Pelodiscus sinensis: one gene and its partners. The protein of the gene in region 3 interacts with the protein of the main gene of each other region in a biochemical or structural test. Links are inferred from orthologs where the notes say so. Each region holds a gene or a part of one and is shown on either strand. Other genes may lie near its edges.

The links.
Region 1: of the proteins of RIPK1 (region 3) and TNFAIP3, one has a biochemical effect on the other in vitro, tested with the Homo sapiens proteins (2 studies listed by BioGRID). The link is inferred for Pelodiscus sinensis from reciprocal best matches to the Homo sapiens genes RIPK1 and TNFAIP3.
Region 2: the proteins of RIPK1 (region 3) and CRADD form a complex in vitro, tested with the Homo sapiens proteins (2 studies listed by BioGRID). The link is inferred for Pelodiscus sinensis from reciprocal best matches to the Homo sapiens genes RIPK1 and CRADD.

Annotation. Positions count from the first base shown.
Region 1 is NC_134713.1:98,274,772-98,285,538, reverse strand, and holds the start of TNFAIP3 (tumor necrosis factor alpha-induced protein 3), read right to left. Parts: upstream 4,424-10,767; 5' UTR 2,329-4,423; coding exon 2,292-2,328; intron 2,191-2,291; coding exon 1,879-2,190; intron 1-1,878. UniProt on the Homo sapiens protein: Ubiquitin-editing enzyme that contains both ubiquitin ligase and deubiquitinase activities.
Region 2 is NC_134711.1:80,087,640-80,097,452, forward strand, and holds the start of CRADD (death domain-containing protein CRADD), read left to right. Parts: upstream 1-5,390; 5' UTR 5,391-5,423; intron 5,424-6,148; 5' UTR 6,149-6,182; coding exon 6,183-6,256; intron 6,257-8,475; coding exon 8,476-8,789; intron 8,790-9,813. UniProt on the Homo sapiens protein: Adapter protein that associates with PIDD1 and the caspase CASP2 to form the PIDDosome, a complex that activates CASP2 and triggers apoptosis.
Region 3 is NC_134712.1:115,467,963-115,478,619, forward strand, and holds the start of RIPK1 (receptor-interacting serine/threonine-protein kinase 1), read right to left. Parts: upstream 4,446-10,657; 5' UTR 4,315-4,445; intron 4,288-4,314; exon of another isoform or gene 3,719-4,287; intron 1-3,718. UniProt on the Homo sapiens protein: Serine-threonine kinase which is a key regulator of TNF-mediated apoptosis, necroptosis and inflammatory pathways.

The sequences.
Region 1 (10,767 bases), on a different chromosome or scaffold from region 3:
CCATTTTAAATAATGTTCCTTAGTGCTGACACAAATAAAATGTATTCAGAGTATGGTGCATCACATTATGATATTAATGGCAATAGGTTGGGGTCTAAAATGTTTTTATTCATTTTAAGGAGCAATCAACTAGATTATACATTTTCTTAATAAATCTGTTTGACTGCAATATACAGGCAGTCCCTGGGTTACATGGATCCGACTTACATCGGATCCCTACTTACAAACGGGGTGAGGCAACCCCGCACTAGCTGCTTCCCCCAGCAGACCAGGGAGACCCGGAGCAGATTTTCTCAGCAGACACCTCAGCTTGAGAATAAAGGACTGAGGGAAGTGAGGTGTGGGAGAATAAAACTGAGCTCTGGAGAAATGTTTGGCTAGAGTTTCCCCTACAATATGTACCAGTTCCGACTTACATACAAATTCAACTTAAGAACAAACCTACAGTCCCTATCTTGTACATAACCCGGGGACTGCCTGTACTGTGGGTGAGGTAATTACTTTTATTGGATCTAATTGTCTCTACTATCCTGGGACCACCATGGCTAAAATTACACTGTATGAAATAGACTGTGTGAAACAACTCTCATGAGAAGGTCACTTATTTAGTGCTTGCAAAGTACTGCAAAAAGAGCTAAATGTGGTGTCAATCCTGCAAGGAGTTCCACATTTGTGGTCCCCAGGCAGAGGCTCTTGGAAGTTGGTGGAACGAGTAAAGAGGACAATTTATGTTCATTGCAGGATCAGGTCTTCTATTACTGTTACAGACTTATAGACCTATATTATGTTTAATCAATCTTGTTAGTTAGTAGTAAGTGATGCTTCTATTTTCATGATTAAATTAGTCTTTGTAAAATGTAATTATACGTAGTAAGAGTAGTAGTTACAGAACACTGTAGATTGTGAGAAGAAATGTGAACTAGGACTCAGTAATGTGTATGTGTACCCATATGAAAAAAATATGTTATGGGGAACATGCAATATTCTGCAGCTCACACTCTCATATCCATTAGAACTCACTGCTAATTAAATTTAAATATACATCCCTTGCTCACAAAATCTTTGCATTTTAGCCCAGGTTATACTACACTGGCACTGTTTTTTTCAGGATATACAAGACACACATTTATAAAGTCCCTCTCTCAAATCACCTCCAAGGCCCTGAAATAATACAAAATATATTAAAAGCAGCGCCATATGCTACTTTTTTTTTAACTCTCATTTAAAATCAAGGGGAATTATGCACCTTGTGAAACATGTATGTAACTGTCATTAATTAAAATAGGCACTATGCAGATCCAGTGGGGGGTGGGGGGGTCGGGGAAAGAAAGCTGTCTTATCCCATAAAGCAACCTAGCGTTAATTAGCTTAATTAAGGGCTGACACTGCAGCCAGAGAGCTAAAAATTGTAAATCTAAGATGTTCCAATTGGTACAGTACTTACGGTTATAGCAGAAAATCATAAGCAACAGAGTATATCATGCAAACAACAACGAGGGGCCATATCATATATAATGCTACACTAACTAATATTACAGAATATTAGAAAGCTTCATGAAAAATACTAGCATTGTAAGAGTTGAGGTTCTCATAGGTAAGAACATATTCTTCTACCATACCAAAGATTTATGATATTACCAAACCTCCATGAAATTTTTAACCTGTTGATGTACACTGTAAATCCTTAAAGATTAATAATTGGTTTGGCATGTCGTGCTAATAGGATGTTAATTTGTGTTGCTACAATAAATAGACATTATTTTAATAAAACAACTATATTTTCATCTTAGTAATTAAAACAACAAGCCTATTAATACAATATGCTAGATCCTTAGTACCCTGTCTTAATACCAGTGTAGTGACACATACACAACTTACCATTAGTCTTTAATGGTACAAGTTTCCTAACTTCCCTGCACCAGTTCAGCTTCCTCTCATGTTCCAGTGAAATCTGGGTGGGCCGGTCAATTAAAGCTTTCTGAAGGGTCTCCCGAAACTGAGGACAAAACTGGCACATTCTGAACATTTCTACTGTGTATCTGTGCATTGTTTTAAAGTGATGAATTATTCCATTGGTGGGTTTGACAAGATCCTCAGGAGTCCTCTCTCTAATTTTCACTGCTTTCAGCATATTGCTCAGATACAAAGCTTGGGGAAGAACTTGTTGGACAGCCATTTCTGAGAAGATACCTGAAGGAAAAAAGAAAGACAATCTTTTTAGTCTCACAATGTATATTATAGGATTCTTGCTGGTACAGAGGTTTAGACTGCAAATTCTTTAGAGCAGAGACCTTGTCTGAAACTCTGCCTGTAAACCACACAGTCCATGGTGAGCGCTATATAAATAATATGAAATCCAGCCACCTCTTAGCATTACTCTGCTATAGATCCTGAACTACTAATCCCAGTCTCTTTACTCTGTCTTCTCTTTATTATTAAAGAGAAGCAAGTATTCATAATGAACTAATGAAATTACAGCACTTGTAAAAGGAGAAGTTTAAATGGAAGTGGGGTGAAGAGGAGGGGAGGGGAGAACAAGAGGAGGGGAAATTACCATGGGAGCTTTGTCTAATCAACAATTGAGCAGCGTAATCTCCAGTGAACCTGCTGAACTTTAAATGCACTTTAATCTTTCAATTTGACCACGTGCCAGAGAAAATTGATCGATCGCTTCAGATTTACAGATGAGTGACAGAACATGCATAAAGCAATGTGACATGTAGTGCAATATTTAAAACACTGAGCTACAATAGCTACATGCAAAGTTAGCTCCCAGCCCAGGCTTAAGATTTCATATGAGATTTAAAATTAACCTAATGACAAATGAAACATTTGTAGCATGATAGGCACCTGGTATTAAATCAGACACCTACATAATAGGAACATTCCTTAGGTTATGTTAATGGTAGGATTATTGCAGAAGCATATGCATGTGTGCATGGGGGTGGGAAGGTACGGAATCAGACCCATTATTACTCAAGGGTAAATCAAGAGAGCTGAAGAAGCATTTCCACTTTGCTCAAAACTCCCAATATTTTTCCGATGTGCAACACGTAATGTCAAATGCTATTTGCTCCTTTCCTCACCTCCAGTCACACTGGAGAACATAAATTCATAGCTATGAATGGCATTCCAAGCCTCACACTTGTTCTAGGCAAATCAGGTCTTTGCACTGTGTCTGACTAGAACCAAGTGTAAACACAGAGTACATCTGCACACATGTACTTTCACTGGTTCTCAGTGCTCAACCCAACTTAATGTTTTTTAAAAGCATTTTTTTAGAAAAGTAAATGTATATAAACCTTACATTTCTAGCACTTGAGAACTCCGCAAGTCTTTTCCTCATCAAATGTCTTAAAAGAATATGACACCTATATTGTGATTTCTAATTTGGGGCCAAACAGAGAAAGGCTAGAGGCAAATGAAAGCTAAACCTCACATCTTTTAGGAAACTGTCCTCTCTAGTGATAAGAGCCTGGAGAGCCATGGAGCAAGCAGGAGGAAAGGAATTACAATCTCACAGATACACCAGGAAGGGAAAGCCTCATCTGCCACGCAGGAGATATCCTGCATGGTAATCTGTTCCTCCACATAGTTATATGGGCTTCCCTCTACATCTCCCTGGTTCTGGTAACTGCCATTGTGAAAGTTCCCCTGTGGCTGGTCAATAGCTACAGAAAGGAACTGCCTAGTAGTTATTACACCAAACTGCTCTGCCTAGAGCTGCTTTGTACATTCCCTCCCAAGAATCTCTGGCAGAAGATCTCAGTAGGCACACTTAGCTGAATTTCTATGGAGTATTGATCGGAAGCAATGGGGTGTCTCATGATGAAAAAAAAATGTGTACCCCATTTCTGCTCAACTGGGGAGTTAACTGAATGTTTTTATAAGTATATATTCATTACAAAGTTAACTAACTCATTTCCTATCTTGTCTATTTCCCCTTGTCCAAAGGAAATGGCACATATTTTCCACATCATACTAATTTTTAAAATTAAGAATGCGGGACAAAATAACCAGAATATAAAAGTGTCATGTCCTTTATCTTCTTCAGCAACTTCCAATCCCTGATCCATCAAACTCTTATATACACAAGCAGACTCATTGAGTCATGGAATTTTTTCATGAATAAGGACTCCTCATCTGATTATGTATTGCAAGCTTGTGCCCTGGAAATGGATCTTTCCACTATTAAGTAACAATGAAGACAGCAATTTGTTTAGCATTAAAAAAGGTGAATTCAATTTATAAGTTATTCAGCACTAGATTTCTGCCTCTCTTTTATTCCAACTACATTCTTACCCTTATATGTGAAAATCTGAGCCATTTTGATTATTAGTTATCAATTTAACTGTGCTTTTAAAAATCATGCTTAAAAATAGTACATTTTTTAAAAAACAAACCAAAAAGCTGTTTACAACTGGATAAGATAAAATAAAACAAAGCATAAAACATTCAGGAGGTGTTAAAAATAATTGTTTTTAAAAATAGATCCCAGTCATTTGAAAAAGATCAAACAAAATTATTTTAAATTCAGCCTTCATATTCAATAATCCTTTTCATATTTATGTAGTGTTCACAGAGCACTGGATGGGATTCCAAAGATCTACTTCTGTCTCTAGCATGGCCTGCTGAGTGACCTTTGGCCAGTCACTTCATTGCTCTGTGCCTCGTTTTTCTCTTATGTAAAATGGAAATAGGATAATGCTATCAACCAAAGCACTTTGAGATTTACAGATGAAAAGTGCTATTTAAGAGCTGGACATTACTAGGGCAACCTTGCCACAAACTTAGTACCCTCAAGTTCCACTGATGTCAGTGGGGCAGAGATGGTCTTTGCGTGGACTTTGTACAGGTCATGGCACATTGTCAACATTTTACAAATAACTATTTTAAAAGAATGGGAGATGAGGGTCTGTAACATTCATACATCATCATCTAGCCGGATCTGGCTTGTTGGTACTGTGATTGTCTTGAGTGTGAAAGAAACAAATGGGTGGTTATGCAATTCACTTTATATATTGAAGGGACATTGTTTCAAGGAATGTTGTCAAGTATGAGCAGTATTTGTAAACCTAATAGAAATATATAATATCTTGGCTTTTCAGTACACCAGAGAAACCAGAATAAGGCCAGTAGGTGGCAGGATGTAGGACACCAGGTCAAAACAAAATGGGTTGGTCAATAACTTCATTACCTAAAAGGTTTTTAATAAGTGTATAAACCCCAAAAGTAACATCTCTGAATGATAACTACCATAGCACTGATTTTTATTATTTATCCAAATTCCCCAGATGGTCACCATTTAAATACAGTTCAAATATATCACCTTCATAAAGCATCACAATATGCTTTACAGCAAGTGGTGGAATAAGGAAAAAATACTTAACCAAAAGGGTACAAGTAAAGGGTATACCAGTTATGCTCCTCTTTTCATGCAGAATTCCTATTTATATTGTGTTCAGTTATACTGCCTTGCCAGTTTTCTACCTAGTTCTATCAAGTGTGATAGGACGTTTGAGTCATTGGTATTGATAAAGCATTGTATAAATTCATATTTGTTTAGGAACTTTCATCCTAGATGCTCAGATGGAACACGTTACATAAGTGCAAAGTATTATATATTAATGCTCTCTGTAACTAAAGACAGATTCTTACTAGAAAAAGAAATCAGGAACTACTAATAATGAGGCTATTTGTAAAAAAAAAATCACAAATAGAAGGTTTAAGCATAGGATTAAGCATAGTGCTACTGTAAGATTTGACAAGAACACAGACACCATGGCTCTGAGTTTGCAGTCCAGCTCTCTACCCCCTACTGGGCGATTTGAGGTGTACATGCAGGTTGTTTTTCTTCAAAATGTCTCACTGCTGCAACTTAGCAATGGTGGGAATACTAATGTAGACAACCTATTGGTGGTTTAGCTAGTCTACTGTTGAACTGTACTCAGTGTAGGCCCAAAAAACCAGAAGCAACCTGCTTACACTAATACTCCAACAGTGGAGCTGCATTAGTGGGGTTATAATGGTGGGAAATTGGAACTAACCTGTTAGTGTAGCTAAGACAATAATAGCAAATCCACTTCTCATGGAACGTTAGTAGCCCCCAACCCACCAAATAGATTACAGTATACAAGCTACGTTTAACCCCCCCCCCCCAAACAATCAGAACAATAGCTCTTGCATAACTGCCTACACGAGCTGTCATCAATAATTATGTAACTTACACTACCACAGCTGGGTGTCACTGCCTCGCTACATCCTTGCCTGCCCTTTCCTCTGTCTACTCTCCAAACCTTCTTTCCTCCCCGTATGTACGTTCTGGGATCGCCAGCCAAGTTTTTAAAGGGAAGAACACACAAGAGGATCGGGGGGGGGGGGGGGAGGAGGGGTAGTCAAACACAGATCCATTAGCAAACCTCCCGCTGCCACCACCGGAGCCTTCGTTACCAACCGGCCCTTTGCAATAAATACACACGCTCACCCACAGAAGCAAGCCAGAAATGCTCGCCAGGGCATGGTCCAGACCACCCCCAGGACTCCTCGGTGCCCCACCACGGAGCGACTGCCACAAGCAGCACAAAGCGCGGTACCTTTCTGCAGAAGGGCTCCTCCAAGAGCGCAGCGCGGCGGATACAATCCTTCTCAAGATCAGTGCACGCAGGCGAGGGCAGCGCTAAGCTGGGCAGCCATGAATGCCCGACCCGACTGGGTTGCAGGAGAATCTGGCTCCTTCACAGCGCCTAGCTGGGCTTCCCTCGGCCGCCCCCTCCCTCCCTCCCTGTTGCTGCTGCTGCTGCTGCGCTGGCTATAAACTGGAGTCAAGGGCTGTTGTTTTTTTTCCTTTCTATTTTACTAAGCCGAGGGAAAAAAGCCCCAGCCCGCGCCGGGGATTTCCACCCCCAGCGCCAGGGACTTTCCGACATGTGACACCCGAGCGAACAGCTGCTGCTGCTGCGGCGGAGGCTGCTGCTTGCCCCGCGGCCCAGAGGTGGCGCTGCGCGAGCAAGCCCGGCCCCACGGCCTAAGCCCCGCCCCGTGAGGCTGAGCCATCCCTCCCCGTCTGAGTCAGCGCGCTGGCGCGGGAGTGGGGGCGCTCCCTTCGGAGCCTTATTGCGTGTGCCCGCACCGCGCCGCAGCAGGGGGGCCGCCTATTGGCCAGCGCCTTGGCCGGCTGCAGCCCGCTCTCCTCCTGCCCAGCGCAGCCGCCTACGGGCAGAGCCAGGCCTTACCTGCAGCCCCCTAGGGGCAGGCTGTGACCTGTAGCTGGTCCTGCAGCCTAGTGCTCAACCCAGGGCTCATGATACCATCGACATGGTGTGTTAAGTCTTTAAAGTGCTACCAGACTGTTGCTTTTTTAAGTTCAGCTTGCAACTGTTAATTGCGTGTCAGGGGCCCTACAGGGGAAAAGCCTCCTGCCACTGCCAAGGCTTAATTAACCCTTGTCAACCCACAAAAATTGTACCTGGTTATGTCAATAGTTACAGTGGTTCAGCCTTCTTAGTATGGTGTTAGCTTAATCAGACGCACCCCGGAGTTGCTATTCCCACTCAGACTGGTACAACTGCCTCTGCTCTAGGGTTTGTGCTGGTGTAACTACATCAGGACATGGGCATACCCCTAACCAACAGATACATCTGTAGGAAATGTGCCTGAAGCTCAGGCCTTATTTGCACCATTAACTATGCAAGAGAACAGAGGTGAGTAATGGTAATTAGATGCCCTAGGCTCCCATAGCTCTGCCCTCATGGCCCTACCCTTGCATTTGGTGATTCTACCTTTCACTTACAGTGGCACTGATGGGGGTAAGGAGGTAGTTCTCTCCCAGCAAAAGAAGGGTAGCAAACTTTCTTGCTAGGAATGACAGTTCAGGACCCCTCCCTTTCATAATCACTGTGGGCTCTCTGTCACATGGAAGACAGGTACAGGTGGCAAAAGAGGTTTGCAGTACTCAATCCCACCTGCTAGGATGTATATGCTTAGGTGGGTCAGGATCACTGCATTCTTTTCTTGCTACACAAAGTTCTCTTTGGCAGGGTCCTCCAGAGCAGGAGGTTATGGAGTTGACACCCCATTCATTATGTTGTGGTTCCCCCCACTTATAACTATTGTTTCAGGTTGTCTTCACACTCAAAGAGCTGTCTCTGATTTGGTTATACTTGGTTCACATTCTCAGGCTTTTCTTGGTAACCCTGAAATTTAATATTTGTTTAAATGAAGGGTTAGAGTCTGATGTAATACCATGACTCCAGGGGTTTGGCTTATAATGCTTTAATATGCCTTAATCTGCTCCTGCAGGTGAATAATTTCATGGTAATTGACTGTAGGATGGTAGGACTACTTGCATAAGTAAAGTTACTCATGTACGGGGCCTGGAGCCTAACATTGTAAATTCATGAAGACAGAGATCTTCAATTTGTATCTCTTTGTAAAGGGTTATCAGGTTATATACATAATTTCATGTTAATTAATAAGCATCAAGTGTTTTTTAAAACAATATTTTCAAAACTCTGTCTTAGAAAAGCTCGATAGTTGCCTTCTAACATATCATAAACAAAACAGCTACACGTTGTTCGTGTGAGAGTGTGTCTACCCAGCAGGGCTTAACTTGAAACAAGCTACGCAAATTGAGCTATGTTAATTGCATAGCTTATTTTGAAATTGGGAGTGTCTACACAGCACTTATTTCGAAATGAGCACTCTTCTTCTGACTTATCTTACTCCTCGTACAATGAGGGTTATAGGAGTCAAAGTAAGAAATCCTCCAGCTTGATAATATTTTGACATTATTTCAAAATAACTGCCTGCTGTGTAGACACGGACTAAGGTATTTTGAAATAAAACCTGTTATTTTTGTTGCTGTGTAGACTTACCCCAAGTGATTTGTACTGAACAAATAACAGGTTCCTGGCCAAAAAGCTGACAACCTAAAGGTACAGGATCCAGTGCATGTTGTAATAAAGGGCCTGAACCCTGCAAAGTGCTGAACTCCTTCTGTGGTTCTGAATTCCTCCCTCCCCCGCCTTAACTTCTCTGGGAGCTGAAGTTGCTCAGCACCTTGCTGTCTCTGGCCTCAGACCTGGAAAGTTATTACAGAAAAAGTAGATTTTAAAAAAGATTTTCGAGGAAAGCAGGAGTTGGGCATCTGTATGTCTTCCTCTTCTTTCTACCCTGTGTTCACTGAGTCAGGGCTGTGCTTGGGAAAAGGGATGATCCCATATAGATTAAAAAACTGATGTATTTTAACTTTTTCACTGCAGTTCCTCCTTTTAAGTGCCCTGCTGTCTAGTGGGATCCACAGCCTGACATTTGCATAGGCTGTCTATATAATACATAGAGAAAGGCACCTGGAATGTGATTCACAAAGCCAGAAAACTGAGCAGGGCGCTGTGCAAACTAGCCAGTAGGAAATGCCAGCATAAGGGATGGGGCTTAAAGCATACCCTACAAAAGGACTTAGGCACCTGATTCTGGCCTCTCCATTTGGGATTCACAACCATGATCCTTGTCCTGAAGTTAGCTTAGCCCTTTCTCACAAAACTCTGAGGAAGTGGTAGTTCCCCCTCCCTCTATAACTAGGGCCCTACTAAATTCACAGTCTATTTTGGTCAATTTCATGGTCATAGGATTTTTTAAATTGCAAATTTGATTATTTCAGATATTTAAATCTGAAATTTCACAGTGTTGTAATTGTAGGGATCTTGACCCAAAAAGAAGGTGATGAGTGTTTGCAAATTTTTTGTTTATGTGTGTGTGAGTGCAGGAGGGTGATAATTGTGTTTCTGCTGCCCTTATTTCTGTACTGCTGGCAGTGGCCCTGTCATCAGAGCTGTTTAGCTGGAGGGCAGCAGCTGCTGGCCAAGAGCCCAGCTCTAAAGGCAGCGCCACTGCCAGCAGCAGTACAGAAGTATTGATGTCATGGTATAGTATTGTCATCCTTACTTCTGCACCATTGCTGCCTTCAGAATTGGGCCCTTTATTAGCAGCCACCACTCTTCAGCCATCCAGTTCTGAAGGCAGCAGCACAGAAGTAAGGTGGGTGTGGCATGCCATTGACACTCTTACTTCTGCACCGCTGCTGATGGGTTGCAGTATTGCCATCCTCACTTCTGTGCTGCCTTCAGAGCTGGGTACCTGGCCAACAGCTACCACCCTCCAGCTGCCCAGCTGTGAAGGCAGTGCAGAAGTGAGGGTGGCAATACTGCTATCCCCTAAAATAATCTTGAGGCTTCCCCACAATTCCCTTTTGGATCTGGACCCCCAATTTAAGAAATGCTGATTTCCCCCATGAAATCTGTACAGTAGAGAGCAAAACACACAAAAGATCAGCATCTATGGTGCATGACACATTTTTAATGGCTGTGAAATTGGTAGGCCGTATCTATAACCAAGTGCTCTGAGTGCTTACCCATGTGGTGAGAGAGCTAGGTTCAAGTCTACCCTGCAGGGAACAGGGACTTGAATCCAGACCTCCCTGGATGCATGCTGTAACTGCTTGGGATCCAACTATGTTTTGTAGAGGATCAAATCTGGTACACAAGCCCCATAGACAAGAGAAGCAGGGGAATTTGAGAAGTTCACTGGGCGTAGGTATGAACTACCCAAGAGGCATTAGGACTTAAGCATCTTTGCTCATGCTCACAAAGAGAAATTTAGGTGCCTGCTGGTCTTTGATAGTAGAAACTTAGGTACCTAGAGAATGTAGACACCAACTGTGCTAGGTGGCAGTTGAGCAGGGCTTTAGGGGGAGTATATTTTGAATTTCAG
Region 2 (9,813 bases), on a different chromosome or scaffold from region 3:
CTCCTCCTCTAACCAACAATTATTGGTGCAATAAAATATATTCCCTTACTTATCTTGCCTCTGATATCCTGAGACCAACATGGCTACAACACTGCATATTCTAAAAAGTTAACAAGAGATAAGAAAAATTTAAAATAGTATGGAATGTCTTAGCCAACTTCTTAGATTCTCCCTAACAAATTTCAAATGAGGGAACACTTGTATCCCATTAGCAATTATTTGCATAATGGAATTTTGTAGTAACATAGGTAAAATAATAGCTTACTTAAAATAAGTTCCTCAAGTATAAGACACTCCCCAAGCAGCAAAAAATATCTTTTAAAACTAGGCAGTCTAACTATTTAATCTAATAGTAGTAGTATCAACTAGCTAGCCCGTAAGCAGAATTTTGAAACAGCGGTGGAGAGCAATTCCTCCTAGAACAATTTTCTTGTTATATGTGGCATTTATATTTCATATTATTGCAGAAACCAATTTAAGATGTTTATTCCCAGGCAATGCATTAGTCAATAGGAAATGCTGAAGGGAGATTTAAAAACAGTGAATGGTGGCTAAATTGATTTGCCGTGTTACTACAGAAAGGAAGAACAGCCAAAGGAATTGGAAATTGCTTTCTCTAGGTCCAATCATTTTGGTATTATATAACCGAAGAGCAACCCCAAATCGCTCTTTGAGGCCTTGATCCTGCATCTGTGTCTCGTAGTCAGACTAATGGGCCCTAGCAAAGCCCCCATTGATTTCACTTCTAGTAGTATCAAACAAGAGAAAGTGCAGGCACATACAGAATTTTTTCTCTCAGCTATGTTAAAGGCAGGTGTGCATGCGTATTCTGCTACTGACACTCAATCTACACCTTTCCATTATGAAAATTCCATTGCTGGTGAAGAAATACTGGTTGGATCTCCCTGGTAAGGATGTAAGCAACTAGTCGAGAAATGCTTATTGGGTAGTCGAGTAGGAACTCGGCTAGTCGCTTCCCCCCATTGCTGCCTCTATCAGAGAGAGGCAACAGAAGGTGGGCGAGCAGGAGCTAGTGCTGGGGGGGGGGGGCAGCTTAAAAGCTGGTTCTCCCTCCAGCACCGTCTCCGTGGGGGGGAGGAGAGGCATAGGGCAGCAGGAAAATGGCGTGAGTGGGCTTGAAACATCTCACTTGCACTGGTCCCTACTGCTGCTCCTCTCCCATTGAAATGTACAAGAGCCACCTGCAGCTCTTGTACATTTCAAAGGAAGAGGCACAGAGGGGAACGTGTGCTAGCAGGGACTGCTTCAGTCCCTGCTGGCATCGGTTCCTGCTGCTTCTCTCCCTTTTAAAATGTACAGGAGCAGCAGGAAATTCCACTGATTACTCAATTAGGTGATTAACTGACATTGAACATCCCTAGTCCCTGATCCAGCACCCTTAGATCCTGACTAGTCCTGGATGAGGGATTTTGCCAGACATGGGGAAGTCATTTCTGGTCCCCCTGCTGCTGGCCCCCCTGGCCTTCCTCCACTGGGCTGTCTGACTTGCCCCTCCCCCTCCACCGCCCAGATGAGCCACACACCAGCTTTCTGCCCCCACTGCATCATGCTGGATCCTGGCCCCCCGCAGAGTGCCTGACTCTCTGATCTGGAAATATTCGTGGTCCTTCTGGATCAGAGAGTTCCAGTTTATAGAAGTGCAACCTGCATATTGTAATATCTGCCTCAGAAGGCCATGTCTGAAGACAAGACTGCTGCTGTGAAGAGGCAGCTGTGTGGAGGCTTAGTTCCAACCCGTTGCCCAAGAGCAATATGACAATCTTGTGCCCCCACCAATCACAAAACATTTAAGTTGGCTTGCCCCGCACAAAGATGAGAAATGTAAACATACAAGGACTAATATTTATAAAATGTGAAAATAGCCAGTAAGCTAAAAATAATCAAATAGAAATTATTAATGGGAAAGGGCTAAGCAAATAGAAAGGGGGCAAAGTTTCAGAACCAGGAAACAGCTCACAATCTATCTTTCTCTGTATATAATTTAAAACAAAGTCAGGGTTTGATTGTGCAGAAACACGAGATGTGCCTGGAATTCGATTGTTTTCCATAACATGAAAAGGGAGGAGACTCAGCAGAGGATCGCTATACTCACAGTCACCACTGGGGACAGCAGCAAGTGCAGGAGACAGCTAAACTGCAGAGTGACCATTAGGGACTGCCGCACCACCAAGGAAGTAGCCAGCTAGGGACGAGATCTCACCATCTTGCCTGCACCAGCCCAAGTAAGTGGTCCTCCTACCCAAAACCCTGACCCCCTATGGTCCTGGTGCCAGGCCAGGGGGGGAAGTCCTGCTGGCCCCACCACTGTAGCCCCTCTGGGAGCACTGCTGAAGTGGGCAGCGCAACTCTGGCCCCTGACACAGGAGCCACAAACTGTCCTCTCCCAGCACAGTCAAGGCTGCCCAGCACCACCCTTTTGCCCACCCCCAGACTGGGCCCGGGGAGCGCCAGCAGAAGGCTCCCTTCCCTCCCCCTGCCTTGGGATGCCCCTCCTGGGAACAGGCAGGGGAGACTGCAGATCTCTTTCCCCCTAAATTCAAATGAGAACGTTGCTGGCTGTTCCTCTTCGTCGGGAGCAAGGGGAAAGTGTTTGCTCCATTCCTCACTCTGACTGGGGAGCGAAGGGGGCAGAGGAACCTGAACCTACCCCAGCCAGGGGACATGCATCTCTCTCCTGACTGTGCCATCTGGAGCTGCAGCAGCCATGGAGAGGCACTTCTCACCTGGCCCCAAGTTGCTGTGGTGAGAGAGGACTGGGGTTGTCCTCTCTCCCTGGGGCAGCCTGCATACTGAACCCCTAATCGCTAGCCCCATCCAGAACAATGATTTAAATGCAGAAAAACAAAAAATAAATGAGTTAAAGACCCAAGCAATGCTTGGTAAATCATCTAGTAATAATATATTAATATCATACTAGCATATGGGCAGTTGTGCTGGGAGGGGAGAATACTGTAGCTGAGAGCAGCTGTAAATCATTGGAAACCAAGAGAAAGTCCAGGACACTGTAGGCCTTGAGAACTTTTGGGGGCAGAGTAGCCAAGAGAAACTGATTGAGGGAGACAGACAGGAAGAGAAAGCCAGCCTCATTTTAGTCAGTCTGGGTCCTAAGGAGATACAAAGAACAGCACAGATTTAAAAACAGGTATTACCCCATCCTCTCATTCACAGACTTGTAGGTTCAACCATGCCACATTCATACTTCACTTCCCTCTCTTTCCCTTTCTGTTGTAAATCTTTCAGAAAGTTTCAGTACTAGAATGCAGACACCATTCCCATCCTCCTGTGTGCATTACTGTTTCAGTACCACAACCACTCCTCCCTTTGCTTTTGGGAAACAATGATCATTCTTTTTTTTTTAAATAAGGAAATTCCCAACATTTTTTATGCTTATTTTGTTGCTGTTGTGGTTTTTTAAATTTGTTTTGTTTTAACATAAGATTACTAAATTAATCTCCACTCACAAAAACAGTTGTGAAGGAACATTACAAAGTTATAAAAATTAGTTTGTCCATAAATATGAATTCTCATTATAGTCACTTTGTAAATTTAGTCATATTAAACTAACTCTGGAATGGAGAGCCTTAGTTCTGTCAATCTCAGTTTAAAAGGGGCACTTTGAGTTAAAAGTCATGTGTTGTGAGAAAACATTTTTTCTTGTCTGTGAATTCAGTCCTACACTCCAGAAAGATGCTCTGCTGTGCACAGGCAATTGTAGGCTCACTGATGGCTTGGATCCCGCAAAAACACATGCTTAGCTACATGCCTCAGTATAGTCAATGGGACTACTCTCAGTGAGTAAAGTAATGCAGAACTGGAGCCTGCATTACTAATAATGACACCTTAGATCCAGGGGGCAGAAGGGGGAAGATGTTTTGTGAGTTGGGAGCCACTGACCCACAGAAAAATCAGTCAGGGGTGCACACCACACAAGTAAGAGGCAAGCCGGGGGCTGCATCCAGCCTCCCATATCCAGCCCCTGGGCCTGAGATTCTCCACCCTTGCCTTTGATTTTTAAATTTGACAAAGAATTTTAAAACCCATTTTATTTTGTACTTACGTTGCTTGCTTTTTAAAATTTTCCTCAATTTGGACAATGAAGTCTGTTTTAGAAACCTTTGTTTCTAATTTGTTTAACGTGCAGGTATGCAGCACTGCAGTATTTGAGTTGTGATCACTGCAGGAAGATGTTTATTTAAAAAAAAAAACACCCTAATTTTCATTAGACTAAAGCAATATAGCAAAATTTGTACCCAAGGCAGATTTTCCTACTTTGTACAAAAGCTAAAAGTTCAGCCAAACTGATCCCTTCCAAAGGTTTTTTGATAGTATAATTATTCATAGATTCATAGACTTTAAGGTCAGAAGAGACCATTATGATCATCTAGTCTGACCCCCTGCACAGTGCAGGCCACAGAATCTCAACCACCCCTCTTAGAATAATCCTCTCACCTATATCAAAGATATTGAAGCATTCAAATACTTTGAAGGACCCAACATGCAGAGAGTCCTTCAGCTGTGATCTGTGCCCAATGCTACAGAGGAAGGCGAAAAACCTCCAGGGCCTCTGCCAATCTACCCTGGAGGAAAATTCCTTCCCGACCCCAAATATGGCGATCAGCTAAACTCTGAGCATGTGGGCAAGACTCACCAGCCAGACACCCAGAAAGTTCTCTCTAGCAACTCCTATCATCCCTCCATTGACCTATTTCCAACTGATAATGAATGGTCAATTAGTTACCAAGATCATGTTATTTCATGCTATTCTATAGCTATTACAGTCTGCTATAGATTACAAATAAATGCCTGCATTTTAAAGCAGCTGCACTATGGGCTGGCGTTAAGGTTATATGTTCAACCTTAACTCTCACAGTTCTGACTCTGGAGTCTTTTAAACAGTCATCCTCTCTCATGGATGGACACCTGAGCGCTGCAATGAGTCACAATCAAGTTTCCTACGCAGGCCCAAGAGCAATGTGTTCCTGCCCAGACCGGATTACAGAAGTTTTCGGTGTAGCTAGAAAACCTGTCTCTTACTAACACAGGTGAGTCTAATAAAGGATTTTTTTTGCATCACCCACCTCTGTCTGGTTGCCAGGGCTGTAACACCGCTTCCAAAGAACAATGTCTCGGGGGGGGGGTTACAGTGTTCTCAGGTTACACTCGGCACTTCCCAGACGCGCTCGCTGCTCGTCTAACACGTGGGAGCGCCTGTGTCCACAACACGGATGGCGGCGGCGCTTTCCATGGCAAAGCATTTGACCTCAACAAACATGGCCGCCGCATTGCCTCGTCCCCTTGGGAAGGCTGGGGGAGGGCGTTTCCTGCCCAGCCCTTTCGCCTTCAACAAAGATGGTGCCTCCAGCGCCGAGCCGGGAGCGTGTGTAACCCCCGGCTTTCCGGCTGTGAGTACATTGCAGTGGGCGGGAAAGAGCGCTGGCTCCCCCGTCCCTTGCCCGTGCGCTGGCTGGGAGCCCTCCTGCCGCTGCACTGGCTGCACGCCCCTCTCCTCCCTTGCCACCCCGGTCGTGGCAGCTCTCCCCCTGGCCCAAGCGGCGCTGGCTGTGGAGGCTGAAATCCCGGCAGGTCCACGCACACCAGGGCAGCGCAAGCCCTGACAGCCTGTCCGCCCCCAGCAGCAGCAACTCCCTGCACTGACAGGTCTTACCGGCTCCGCTGACAGCGATAAGGAGGGTTTTGAAGAGACGCACCATGGTGCTGGGGGTTATTTCTAATGCTGCCGAGCCGGGGCTGAAAACAGGGGAGGCTACAACACTCCTGCCTGGCACAGCCCCAGGGGATTCGATCCACTCCCGAGTCGTACCCAGCTACCGTAGCTAAGGGCTTTTTGCCCTGTTTGTGTTACAGACACACGGAGGTGGAAAAAAAACAAAACAAAAACCAACAGCCAGACCCAAAGTCTGACGTCTAGGAGGTGTAATTTGTTGGTGGATTCCCGTCTTGCTAGTTACATTACCAGCCACTCCAAAACGCGACAATCTCACCACCTACGGGAAAGCAGTTCTCAATGAATTTCAGGCAGCACTCTGGTGATCTGTGTATTTACACAGTGTCCGAGGCAGTAGCAGCATATATCAATGCCATGAAATTACCAATGTCTCCCCTGCAGCTTTGTGACATGATCACATTCTTCAGGAGGAATAATGAGGAGAGAGAGTCTTAAATTTTACCTGCTGGAATATATGAGCAACAGAAACTTACTAACCCTGCAGTGCCAGTAAGTATGAATGGCAAGAGCCAAATCAGTTTGTTCTTCATTGTAATGGATGCACCTGTTTTATAAATTCTGTATCTAGCTTATGAAGCACTTTCCAACTGAAAAAGCTGGAGAAAATCATCCAGACCTCACAAGCTGAGAATGAGGCCATGTGGAATTAATGGTTCATATAATTCCTGCCTAACTAGGCACTAACTTCCTTACTGAAATGTGCCAGGAATCAGAGGATCCAATTCAAATTACAACTGATTCACAGAGAAACCGATTAATGCAATAGCTATTACATCTAGGAACAAGCCAGAGTGCTTATTTCAAAGGTTAAATGGGTATTGGGAAGCTATTCAGAGCAAGATTTTGAACTGTCATTTTTGGTGTGCTTTCACATCAATGTATGCATGCAAACATTAATTTCCCTTGGTGTCAATAGCAATACCGATGTGCAAGTTAGGGACTGTGCAAGGACAACTGAGGACAAGTAAAGTATGGTCCTAAGGTTGAAAAATTACAAACCTTTAGAAATATTTGGAAAAACTATAACTTTGGCCTCCTTGCTTGATGGACAGCTTCTTTTCTTTGATAAGGGATGATCTGGTATTTTATCTCTCTCCTTTCCACCACCGTGATCATTATTATTATTTTTTTAAAGCCTCCTTTAGTTTGATACTGGATCCCTTGCAGACAGTGGTTATAGTAGAATGGAACAGGAGGGGGAGCTCTCAGTGCAACAGTCTGGAGGGGGAAACAAAGTGAGAATGGAGTTGGGGGTGAGCTGACTCTTCTGTACTTTTAACTGTGCTCTGTCTTAAACTTTCCTCCCAGGCTGATCTCACCTCAAGATCCATAGTAAGACTCCAGGTTTGCTTTGTGGTTCCCTCCATTCCCCCAATATCTTCCCAGCCTTAAAGCCATGAAAGACATTTTTTTTAATGATGCTTAAATACCAAAGAGGTTGTTAAGATACTTTGTTAATATCTCGCTTCACACCCCCAGCAGCTTTTAGCAAGGATCATGACTGTCAGCGCAATTTTGGCTCTACTAATCACTTACAGTATGCTAACATCTTTATGGCTGACCTAGAACAACGTTTCCTCAACTCCCGTCCCCTTTCACCGCTAATCACTTACAGTCTTAGTGGCCTTTACTTTCTGGAAGGAAGCCGCATGGGGTGGGGGGAGATTATGTGGAATGCTATATGCTGGGAAGATGGGTATGTGGCAAGAAGAGTTCAACTGAGGTTGAGGAGAGGAAAAGAGAACAGTGCTAGCTATTCCTTCTCTCAAGAAATGGTAGATTCTGTGCAAAAACTGTTGTGTTTTTTATGGAGGAACTACCATAAAAGTAATTTAAATCTTTTACGTTTATGGGGCATCAGGAGGACTGTTTTCAATGGGTAGCTTATATTGTGTGTGTTTCCAAATAATTAAAGACATATTATTATATTGTATTTTTAATACAAGCTGAGCTGTTTCAGAGGCTGAAATGTCTTTCCTTTTAAATCTTTTCACAATGAGTCTGTCCTGCCCTAATTCCCAGTTTTTCACTTCCTGCAAAAATAGTGATTTACTGAGGTTATGTCTAGGCTACGTTGTTCTTTTGGGATACTTCCAGTATCCCAAAATAGCAACACTGCGTCTTTTAAAGTGTCTGCTATTCTGGTGTCCCTGTAACCCTCATTCCACAAGGGTTAAGGGATTTGTCGGAATAGTACCTTATTTTGAAATTTGGCACTGTGTAGACAGCGCCAAATTTCAAAATAAGCTCTTTCGACTTGCGCTATGCAAATTGCATAGCTTATTCTGACAGAAGGGTGCTGTCTAGACTCACCCTCAGAAACATGCTATTTTAATTTTGCAGGGTTGGGGCCTTAAGGTATTCCAATGGCATCCCTTTGCCAAAGAGCTTATAGGATTGTGGCTTTTATGCTTCAGTTCAGTTCCCATCTAAGTCTATGGCAAAACCACCTTGACTTCAGTGGGAGAAAGATCAGGTCCCAAATTCATGGCCTCAGGTGAGAGACAAGAAATCAAACTGCTAGCTAAGGGGAAACTGAATATAAAATGCTAGCCTGAAGGAAAATGGCTGAGCAGCGATAGATGGTTCCCACTTCAGCTTATCTTGGTGTGGTTCTCTTTTGACACCCTTTTGAACATGAAAATAGCTCTCTTTGATGTTAAAAAGGGAAGCCTTGTAATATCTCATGTGTCCTGCTTCTTTTCTTGCATGCCTCATGACAGGATGGATACCAGAGACAGGATGGTTCTGCGTTCCCTGCGGCTGGAGCTCTGCTCAGAGGTGCTGGTGGAGGAGCTCATCGTTCATTATCTCTACCAGGAAGGCATTCTAACAGAGAACCACCTTCAAGAAATAAAGTCCCAAGCCACCAGTCACAGAAAAACCATGATGCTTCTCGATATCCTTCCTACCAGAGGCCCCAAGGCCTTTGAGACGTTCTTGGATTCCTTACAGGAGTTTCCATGGGTGAGAGAGAAACTGGAGAGAAAGCGTAAGGAAATGATGGGAGAGGATCCTATAGGTAAGGCCAGAATTATCCCTGTGGTTTTGAAGCTGGCTTTCATAGTGCAGCTACTTGTCTGCTAATTTCTTGGTGTTATTGATAGTGCAAATTATTCCAACATTTTGGAATGAGAGAGGCTGTGCCAACTAGAGGTGATGCTTAGTGTCCATAGTAGGCCACACACCATAGTTCTTGAGAGCCAGCTGAGTGAGAGAAAGTAATGCAGATTTTTTGAGATGAGCAAAGGTTAGGCTGGGTTCCTATGCGCTGGTAGGTAGCGCAGCAGAGAAGAGAAAGATGGGAACTTGATTCAGAAGGAGCAGAATCTGGAGGGCACAGGCAGGGAAGAATCAATAGGTTAGAAGGGACCACAAGAGTGATCTAGTCTAAGTCCTGCCTGGATGTGAGATTTGTTGCACCTAAACCATCCAAGATAGATGGCTATCCATCTTCCTTTTTGAAACTCTCCAGTGAAAAAGGTTCCACAACTTCCTGAAGGAGATACTAGACCTCCCGGGCACAAAAGGACTGTGATATAAGCTAAGGAATGATGTTAATTGGATGAAGAACAGGTCTAGAAACCACATAATCACCCAAGCATACCAGGGTCTAGTCTTTTGTTAAGTAAAATGTACATGTTAGCTCTATATGTGCTATAGGGCTTTTATTCTGTGTTCTAATTGATGGATATTTGTTAAAAACTTGTCTTGCTTTATGTTTGGTAGACCATGTGTGGCATCACAAATAGATTCCAAAGGCCCCCTGTGAAAGCATAAAAATGTGATAGTGACACAAGAACAGTTAGGAATGAAGCAGATCTCTGAGTGTCCATATATAAATTATTGTATAATTTTAAGGGATGCTTCAAATTTCATTTTGGGTTTGTCATTTACACTAAAGCTTCCTTTCCCTCACCTGTGTAAGGGTTGTGTGTAAATGTAAGTTTATGCCAATTTTAAGTACCCTTTAAACTCCCAGAGTAGTGTAAAGTAGGCATCGGTGTAAGTGGGACTCAGTCCCTCCATCTTAAAAACCCGCCCCT
Region 3 (10,657 bases):
AAACTGTAAAAGTGAAATACAAGTAGGGGCCAACACCAACTATAGACAAATTCTGCCAAATGCTAAGAACTTCTTACAATGGTAGTCAAGGGCACTCTGTCTCATGAAAGATACTTAACACCTTTGGGGATTACATATGCTCAGATCCTAAAAGGCATGTTGAAACTTATTTTCAATTTATTTAAATAGGAGTTAGACACCTAAATACCTGTTTTAACAATGTGGATTTAAATTAAACTTTTGCCAGCATTTAAATGGGAATATGAATTTTAACCCTAGGAAGCAAAGTCCCATGAGAAATAAATGAGTTACATAACCCCTCCCAACTACCAAATCCTATAATACTTCCTAAGGTTGACACACACATTTAAGGTTACTCCTGAGGGGATTCTGTATGGCTGCATGCCTGCAGAAAATGCATCCCCCAATTCATGTGCTTTCCTTCAAAAAATGTCAGGCAGCTGCTTGGAAGAGGGGGCACGAAGGACAAGGGAGCAAAATTAGAAGTGCCAAGCCACAAAATGACATCACACAGGCTAGAGACATGAAGGATAACAATAAAACATTCTACAACTACATTAGAAGCAAGAGAAAGACCAAGAAGGACAGGGTAGGATCATTATTCAATCAATGAAGAGGGCAAAATAATAACAGAAAATGTGGAAATAGCAGAAGTGCTTCATGATTTCTTTATTTTGGTTTTCACCAAAAAGGTTGGTGGTATTTGAACACTAGAGAATATAAAGCTTATACAGGTTCAACCTTCCTAGTTCAGCACCCTCAGGACCTGATCAGTTCTCAACCAGTGAACTTTCCAGACCATAGGAAGTCAATGCTGTCTAGAAGCATTACCAGCACTTCCACTGCTTACTGGGCTGGTAGAGGACATTTAGGGGGTAAATTAGAGCTAAATAATAACACAGATCTAGGATTTGTGGCTCTAAATAAAATTTATAGGACCGTGGAAAACACCCATGAAAAGTGGACATCCAGCTAACTAAAATCATTCCAGAGCATGGATGTTTCCAGACTAGAGAGGGTCAACCTGTACTGCAAAGCCTGCAGTGCAGCTAGCTTAGCTCCTGGAGAGCCAGCTACTCCTTGAGCCAGCTGACCCCACTCCCAAGTAGCCCCCTGCCTCTCTGCACTGCTGACTCTGTATCAGAGGCAGCATCGTGGGGTCCCAGGAAGGAGCTGCTCTGCAAGGGGAGCCTGTTTAAAAACCAGCTCCCCTCATGGACCTGCTGACTGTTGCCCTGTGCTGCTGCCTGTGTGTCAGAGGCAGCAGTCTCTGTCCAGGGCGGGGAGAGAGGGGCTGAGTACTCAGACTGGACACAAGCCAGATCTGAGCCAGGCTGCCTGCCCCCCGGTTCCTAATACACTTTAAATGCAAAGCCGCAGGGGTAGTAGATCCTGGACCCAGGGCGAGCGAGGACTGAGCCAAGTTGCTAGCCAGCCTGCTAAAAATTTACTGGCAAAGAGGGGGAGGTGAAATGCGTGTAGTCTATAGCATTAACCTATAAACTTTTGCTTATTGGTTGATCGACTACATTATTACATCCTTAGGACAGATGTAGACAAATTGAAAAATGTGCAAAGAGCAACAACAAGTATTAAAAGTCAAGAAAACGTGGCCTATGAGGGCAGATTGAAATAAATGTGTTTGTTTAGTCAGGAAAAGACTGAGAGGAGACATACGTTTTCAAGTACAGTACCTAAAAGTTACAAGGAAGAGGGAGAAAAATTATTCTTCTTAACCTCTAATGATAGGACAAGAAGCAAGGGGCTTGAATTGCAGGAAGGGAGATTTAGGCGAGATGTTAGGGAAAAGTTTCTGGCGCTAGGAAAAAATGTAAACCCTAGGGATGTAAGAATTTAACCAGTTAAACTCCCAGCCAATTGATTACACAATTAGTGGGTTTGATTTTTTTTTAATTTTTACATCCCAATTAAGCACTGGAATAAATTGCCTAGGGAGGGTGTGGAATCTCCATCATTGGAGACTTTTAAGAGCAGGTCAGATAAACACCTGTCAGATGGTGCTTGGAGATGCCATAAATTCAAGAGACTTGACTTGATGACCTCTTGAGGTCCCTTCCAGTCCTATGATTATGTGACCATGGGTGCAGTTTTTATGGGGGGGTCACCCCTCCCCCAACAGAGGTGGCACAAAGGGTTACCTGCCACTGCCACCCTATTTCTGCAAATGGGGAGCTAGGACCCAGCTGAAGGAGACAGCATCTGGCCTCTGCTGAGTGTCTGCAGCAAAACACCATATTTTGGGTCCTAGTACCACACATGCTCCCCTTCTCTGTGTCAAGAGCTTTCCTGTTTCTGTGCAACAGGGAGTGCCCATGGAGGGGCTGGGTTTGGAAGCGTGGAAGAAATGAGAAAAGGCGGGATTAGACAGGGTGGGAAGAGGCAGTGGGTAAGGAAGGGGGTAGAATAGGGCAGGGGGAGGGAAATGTGGGAACAAAGGGCAGAAGATGAATAAGTAAAGGGAATAGGGAATTATGGGGGGAAGTACGAGCCTGGTATGCAGTGTCCCCCTCAGCAGCTGTTGTCCTCCTCCCATTAAGCAGGCACATTGAACCTTCATCCTGTCACACCCTTACCACAAGAAGTAATGTTGCGTAACTAAGATTATTTTCTCATTAGCCTTGTTCCTTGTTTTACCATTCAGAAGTTGTCCCCCTCTCACAGTCTGAACTCTACTGAACTCCCCCCTCCCCCCCCCCCACGCCCTCAGATGACACCTACAAAGTCCTCAGAGAGACTCTGACTGGTGCTATGGTCAGTTTTCTATTAGGATGAAGTTGGGATGTAAAATCCCATTTAATAGGTTAAACAATGAAAGGGGGAGGAGGGAGGCTCCACAGCACTGTCACTGCGTTCTGCCCCTGTCCTTCAGGAGAGTAACCATCTTTTTAGGCTTTGGATGTCACTACATCATTAGCACCTTGCACCCATTTCGATGAACGCGGGCCCCCTCTTTTTTTTTATTATCAAAACTGAGGTGGGTGTGCACATAACAAGTACCACAAGAGTGGAGGGCAGGAGGTGAAAATTCTCACTACTCCCCCTTTGGGCATGGGAACGGGGTATGGAAATCCCCCCCCCCCTGCTCTCCCGACCCCTGAGGATGAGCAGCAGTGGGGGCTCCCCACCTCGGGCTGCGGGTGGGACAGTGGGAGGAGAGGAGATAAAAGCCCCTCTCCCGCCTTGTGGAGCCACAGGGATCGTCCCGCAAGGAAGCAGAGGAGGAGGCAGCCCAATGGAGGAAATCCACGCGTCACTGCCCGCTGTAAGGACAGGTAGCAAAGGTAGCAAGTCCTGAGCAGTAGCACCGCATTTCATGTATGCATGACAGAAACCGCAACGATCGCAACAACGGAGAGTTTCAGAGTTGCACTTTCTGTCGTCGCCCCGGCAACTCCCAAATCGCATTGCACCGTCACTAGCGCAGAACGCCCCTGCCCTGTCCCGGGACATGGGGACTCACCACGCGCACACGCCTTTCCCTGCACAGCAGCCCAGGGCGGAGCCCTTCCCGGGCCAGGTAACTGTCTTAAAGAGACCGGGTCCTCGCCTACAACCCCGCTTCCCACGGATCGCATCCAGCCCGGGAAAGTCCGGTGTTAAAGCGTGAGACACAGCGCGCAGGAGGGGAGCGGCGGGGTGTGTGTGTGTGTGTGTGTGTGTGGGGGGGGTGTTCTACCTTAGTCCTTCAGCTGGGAGTTGCTGGGTCGGTGTGTTAAAGCCCGCAGCACACCACACCAAAGAAAGCGCATGAATCAAGGGCTCAGGATACAACAGTGTCTGACACATACAGGAGCCCGCTGTGTGTTTGCAAGAGCGAAAGTTTATGTGACCATTAGGAAAGCTAGTTACCGTATGCTAGGGGGGCAGAAATGCACCGGGAACTGGAGCAGGAAGAGGAAACACGGAAGGCTCGTTCCACCATTAGAATTTGCTAAGAGATTGCAAAAAATCCGGCCTTTACAACATGGTGCTGAAACTGAAACTAACTCTCACCCTCCGGCAATAATAAGGGAAGTTTTAGTGGAAAACGACAATCGAAGAGTCCTACGTTCCCCCTTCTCTCCAACGTCAGGTCCCCAAAAGGCCTTGATCTTAATATAATGAAATATTGCACAGCGTGTCTATTCAAACGCGAAGGAAAAATAAAAGGACCCGAGTTCCAGGCAGGCCTACGTGCAGCTCCTGTGAACTTTTTTAAAAGAAAACTAAAGCAAACAAGCGGAAACATCGCTAGTCTCTTCTTAAAGGCGCAAAGAATGGAAGTGCCCTTACCTGTCACTTCACAAAGCTCCGGCCCCGGCCCCAGGAAGCTCCAGCCACTATAGTCTGGCTTCAGTTCTTTTACTAACTCTAAAGTTGGGTTGGTTCTTCTCTCGGGCCCGCCTCCACCTTGCTGTGGGAGGAGTCATGAAAAACTAGCTCCTGTACAAACTCATGGAAAGCAGTACTACTTTTAGCTTCAAAGCTAGCTTCACAAGTTTGGCCCTGGTTTACAAACTGAGTAGCCACATTGAAGTCAGTGTGTGACGCTGTATGGAATTTGGGGGACAGGAGGATATTATGAAATCTGTAGAACAGTGTTTCCCAATTTTATTTGGCCACGGAACCCTTTTAAACGCCAAAGAATTTAGCGGAACCCTTAATAACAGCAACTTGTTTGACAGCTGAAGTTTCGATTTTGTCCAACGCAGCGCTAGTATATTCGTATTCAGTCACCCACGTGATCCATGCTCCCTGAGAGTGAGTACGGGGATTTACGGTGGTATATAACAGGCGAGTGCACCACTGACTGGCAGCACAGCGCTGAGTAGTGATATCATCGTCCCCACTCTCCGGCTAAGCTGGCATTATACAGAGACACTTATCATGGCAAACACAAATGAAAATTGTTTTAAATGAAATTCATAAATGCTTAAATATATATTTTTTTAAAAAAAAATCATAAAATGTTATTGTAATGGAATTGTCTTGCGGAACCCTTGTTTTCACTTCGCGGAACCCCAGGGTTCTGTGGAGCACCATTTGGAAATACTGCTGTAGAATGATAATCAAATATGCCACCCATGCCATGTAAAGTATCTGCAAAATTGTTACAATCTACCAAAGCTGATAATCTCAGTTATATGTTTGTATCACCTATGTTTTTTGGGTTATAGATATGTGTGTGTCTGTATTACAAACTTGTGCTAATCTGCTGGGGGATGCTCATAGGTGGGTATGCACTGCTTAGCCTGCTTGATTTCCCACCAAAGAACACCAGCTATTCAACTGACCCATTGAGAGAAGGCAGGAGATACACCTGATGCCTCAGCAAGGCATGTCAGGGCATGTCTATGGACAGAACTCTAAAGGGTATGTCTACACTACCAAGTTGTGTCAACAAAACTGATGTCGATAGCCAAAGGTAGACAAAACAAAAATCTCCAGAGGGTGTTCACACTTGCTCTCATGTCTGCACTGGGGGCACCATCATTGACAGTATGAGCAGTGCAGTGTGGGTACAAAACATATCCCACAGTTGTGTGAAGGCAGAGCTGATTCCTGTGCATTTTGGGATTCCCCCTAAGTTCTCCCGCAGCCTCTTCAGCTGCCAAAGAACAACATCATGAGCAGCTTTTTGAGCTCTCCAAGCTAAGGAACGTCAAAGCAGCACAGCAGCCTGTCCCCCCTCACACCTGCAGTAGTAGTCTGTCTACCATTATTAACTGTGGTTCATAACCTAACCTTTAAATTAGCTTCCGTACCTAATGACTGGACTATAGCTAATGTGACACCAGTATTTAAAAAGGGCTCTAGAGGTGATCCTGGCAATTACAGATTGGTAATTCTAATGTCTATACCGTGCAAATAAATTGAAACTATAGTAAAGAATAAAATTGTCAAACACATAGATGAACATAATTTGTTGGGGGAAATGTCAACATGGTTTCTGTAAAGAGAAATAATGTCTTACTAATCTACTAGAGTACTCTGAGGGGGTCAACAGAAATGTGGACAAGGGGGATCCAATGACTATAGTTTACTTAGATTTCCAGAAAGCTTTTGATAAGGTCCCTCACCAAAGGTTCTTAAATACAGGTGGCCCCCGATTTGCAATGCGCTTGGTTCCCGGAGAAGCGTAGCAAGTCAGGGGCATCGTAACTTGAACCCTCATTTATGATAGGCACCGTGCGCCATCATAAATGTGGGACGAGGACGTAAGTTGGGGGTTTTCGACCCCTTCCTCACTTACAAAAATGGTTGTAAGTGTGGGAGACCGTAACTCAGGCAGTTGGAAGTCGGGGGTTTCCTGTAAAGTTAGTTGTCATGGGAGAAGAGAGACAGTCCTCTCATGGATTGATAACTGGTTAAAAGACAAGAAACAAAGAGTAGGAATAAATGGTAAGTTTTCCTAATGGAGAGAGGTAACTAGTGATGTTCCCCCAAGGGTCTGTATGGGGACCAATCCCATTCAATCTATTTATAAATGATCTGGAGAAAGGGGTAAACAGTGTGGTGGCAAAATTTGCAAACAATACTAAACTGCTCAAAATAGTTAAGACCAGAGCAGACTGTGAAGAGCTTCAAAAAGATCTCCCCAAACTAAGTTATAGGGTAACAAAATGGCAAATTAAATTTAATGTTGATAAGTGTAAAGTAATGCACATTGGAAAAAATAATCACAACTATACATACAATATGATGGGGACTAATTTAGCTATCACTACTCAAGAGATATCTTGGAATCATTGTGGCTAGTTCTCTAAAAACATCCACTCAATATGCAGCGGCAGTCAAGAAAGGAAACAGAATGTTAGGAATAGTTTAAAAAGGAATAGAGAAGAAGACCGAGAAGATTTTATTGCCTCTGTTTAAATCCATGATACGCCCACATCTTGAATACTGTGTACAGATGTGGTCGTCTCATCTCAAAAAAGATATATTGGCATTGAAAAAGGTTCAGAAAAGGACAACAAAAGAAAAAAGAGGTTTGGAGTGGGTACTATATGAAGAGAGATTAAAAAAGACTGGGACTTTTCAGCTTAGAAAAGAGGAGACTAAGGGGAGATATGATAGAGGTGTATAAAATCGTGATTGATGCGGAAGAAGTTAATAGGGAAAAATTATTTACTTGTTCCCATAATATAAGAACTAGAGGTCACCAAATGAAATGAATAGGTATCAGGTTTAAAACAAACAAAAGGAAGTTCTTCTTCATGCAGTGAACAGTCAACCTGTGGAAATCTCTGCCAGAGGATGTTCTGAATCATAGAATCATAGGACTGGAAGGGACCTCGAGAGGTCATCGAGTCCAGCTCCCCGCCTTCAAGGCAGGACCAAGCTCTGTCTACACCATCCCTGACAGATGTCTATCTAACCTGTTCTTAAATATCTCCAGAGAGGGAGATTCCACCACCTACCTTGGCAATTTATTCCAATATTTGACCACCCTGACAGTTAGGAATTTTTTCCTAATGTCCAATCTAAACCTCCCTTGCTGCACTTTAAGCCCATTACTCCTTGTCCTGTTCTCAGAAACCAAGAGGAACAAATTTTCTCCTTCCTCCTTGTGACACCCTTTTAGATATTTGAAAACCGCTATCATGTCCCCCTTAATCTTCTTTTTTCCAAACTAAACAAGCCCAGTTCATGAAGCCTGGCTTCGTAGGTCATGTTCTCTAGACCTTTAATCATTCTTGTCACTCTTCTCTGTACCCTTTCCAATTTCTCCACATCTTTCTTGAAATGTGGCGCCCAGAACTGGACACAGTACTCCAGCTGAGGCCTAACTAGTGTAGAGTAGAGCGGCAGAATGACTTCACGAGCTTTGCTTACAACACACCTGTTGATACAACCTAGAATCATATTTGCTTTTTTTGCAGCAGCATCACACTGTTGACTCATATTCAACTTGTGGTCCACTATGACCCCTAGATCCCTTTCCGCCATGCTCCTTCCTAGACAGTTGCTTCCCATCTTGTATGTATGGAACTGATTGTTCCTTCCTAAGTGGAGCACTTTGCATTTCTCTTTATTAAACTCTATCCTGTTTACCTCTGACCATTTCTCTAACTTGCTAAGGTCATTTTGAATTATGTCCCTATCCTCCAAAGAAGTTGCAACCCCACCCAGTTTGGTATCATATGCAAACTTAATAAGCGTACTCTCTATCCCAATATCTACATCATTGATGAAGATATTGAACAGTACGGGTCCCAAAACAGACCCTTGCGGAACTCCACTTGTTATCACTTTCCAGCAGAATTTAGCACCGTTAACAACAACTCTCTGACTACGGTTATCCAGCCAATTATGCACCCACCTTATCGTGGCCCTATCTAAGTTATATTTGCCTAGTTTATCAATAAGAATATCATGCGAGACCGTATCAAATGCCTTACTAAAGTCTAGGTATATGACATCCACCACTTCTCCCTTATCCACAAGGCTCGTTATCCTATCAAAGAAAGCTATCAGATTAGTTTGGCATGACTTGTTCTTCACAAACCCATGCTGGCTATTCCCTATCACTTTATTACCTTCCAAGTGTTTGCATATGATTTCCTTAATTACCTGCTCCATTATCTTCCCTGGGACAGACATTAAACTGACCGGTCTGTAGTTTCCTGGGTTGTTCTTATTCCCCTTTTTATAGATGGGCACAATATTTGCCCTTTTCCAGTCTTCTGGAATCTCCCCCGTCTTCCATGATTTTTCAAAGATCATAGCTAAAGGCTCAGATACCTCCTCTATCAGCTCTTTGAGTATTCTAGGTTGCATTTCATCAGGCCCTGGTGACTTGCAGGCATCTAACTTTTCTAAGTGATTTTTAACTTGTTCTTTGTGTATCCTATCTTCTAAACTTACCCTCTCTCTGCTTGTATTCACTATGTTAGGCACACCTCCAGACTTCTCGGTGAAGACCGAAACAAAGAAGTCATTGAGCATCTCCGCCATTTCCAAGTTTCCTGTTACTGCTTCTCCCTCCTCACTAAGCAGTGGGCCTACCCTGTCCTTGGTCTTCCTCTTGCTTCTAATGTATTTATAAAAGGTCTTCTTGTTTCCCTTTATGCCTGTAGCTAGTTTGATCTCATTTTGTGCCTTTGCCTTTCTAATCTTGCCCCTGCATTCCCGTGTTGCTTGCCTATATTCATCCTTTGTTATTTGTCCTAGTTTCCATTTTTTATAGGACTCCTTTTTTATTTTGAGATCATGCAAGATCTCCTTGTTAAGCCAAGCTGGTCTTTTGCCGTATTTTCTATCTTTCCTACACAGCGGAATTGTTTGCTTTTGGGCCCTTAACAACGTCCCTTTGAAATACTTCCAACTCTCTTCAGTTGTTTTTCCCTTCAGTCTTGCTTCCCATGGGACCTTACCTACAAGTTCTCTGACCTTATCAAAATCTGCCTTCCTGAAATCCATTACCTCAATTGTGCTGGTCTCCCTTCTACCTTTCCTTAAGATCATGAACTCTATTATTTCATGATCACTGTCCCCCATACTGTCTTCCACTTTCAAGTTCTCAACTAGTTCCTCCCTATTTGTTAAAATCAAATCCAGAACAGCTTCTCCTCTGGTAGCTTTTTCAACCTTCTGAAACAGAAAGTTGTCTCCAGGACTTTAACAGGGTTCAAAAAAGAACTAGATAACTTCATGGAGGTTAGGTCCATCAATAGCAATTAGCCAGGATGGGTAGAAATGGTGTCCGCAGCTTCTGTTTGAGAGAGGCTGTTCTTAGGTTCACTGTGTTCCTAGTGCAGGGCGGAACAGGGGCACTCCAATTATTTGCTCTTTGTTCCCCAAATGGAGCAGCTCACTCAGCTGTCAGGCATTTCTGGGAGCTTTGAAGGAAAGGGGCTGCATGCCTGCAGAGCAGTTGAATCAAACCTAAGTAGGGCCATCAGGGCAGGCATTATGGGATACTGATGGAAGACAGATCTGTTGACAAAACAAACAGCAGTGTCTACACTGAGTCTTTGTCGACAATAAACAGAGGGGAAAAGAAAGAAGTCTCTCATAGTTGTGGAAGTTTTTTGTCGCCCAAACTGGGTGTTTTTCCCAAGAAAAGTCTCATTTCAGTGTCTATGCTTTCACTGTTTTGTCGCCAAAAGGCAGGTTTCACCAGTAAAACTTTGTGGTGTAGCCGTAGCCTTCCAGGTCATGTGCTGGGCAGCTTGTGTTTGGGACAAAGGAAATAGAAGCCATATGGCAAAAAAAATATAAAAGGCAACCGCATCTTCTCCCTTTTGTCTCCATTCCTGCTGCCTACCTCTGGAGTAACCAGTCTACAAAAAAAGCTATGAGCAAAGTATTGAATGACCCATCCAAACTGTGGATGTGTTCCAGAGGGACTTTCAAGCCAGCAAATTCACCAGTACAACTGGGAACCTGAAGTTGTATGTACGTGACTGTCTGACCATTTCACACCTCTCTTCGGTCTTTCTTTTTTCTTTAATAAACTTTTCGTTTTAGATGCTAAAGGATTGGCTGGCAGCATGGTATTTTGGGTAAGATGCAAACCAATAGTGAGCTGGTAATATGGTTGGCCCTTTGGGTCCAGAAGAATATTTTGTATGTGTGAGCAGAGTTTTAAAATAACTTCTCACTGTACTGGGTCTAGGTTCTAACTGGGAGC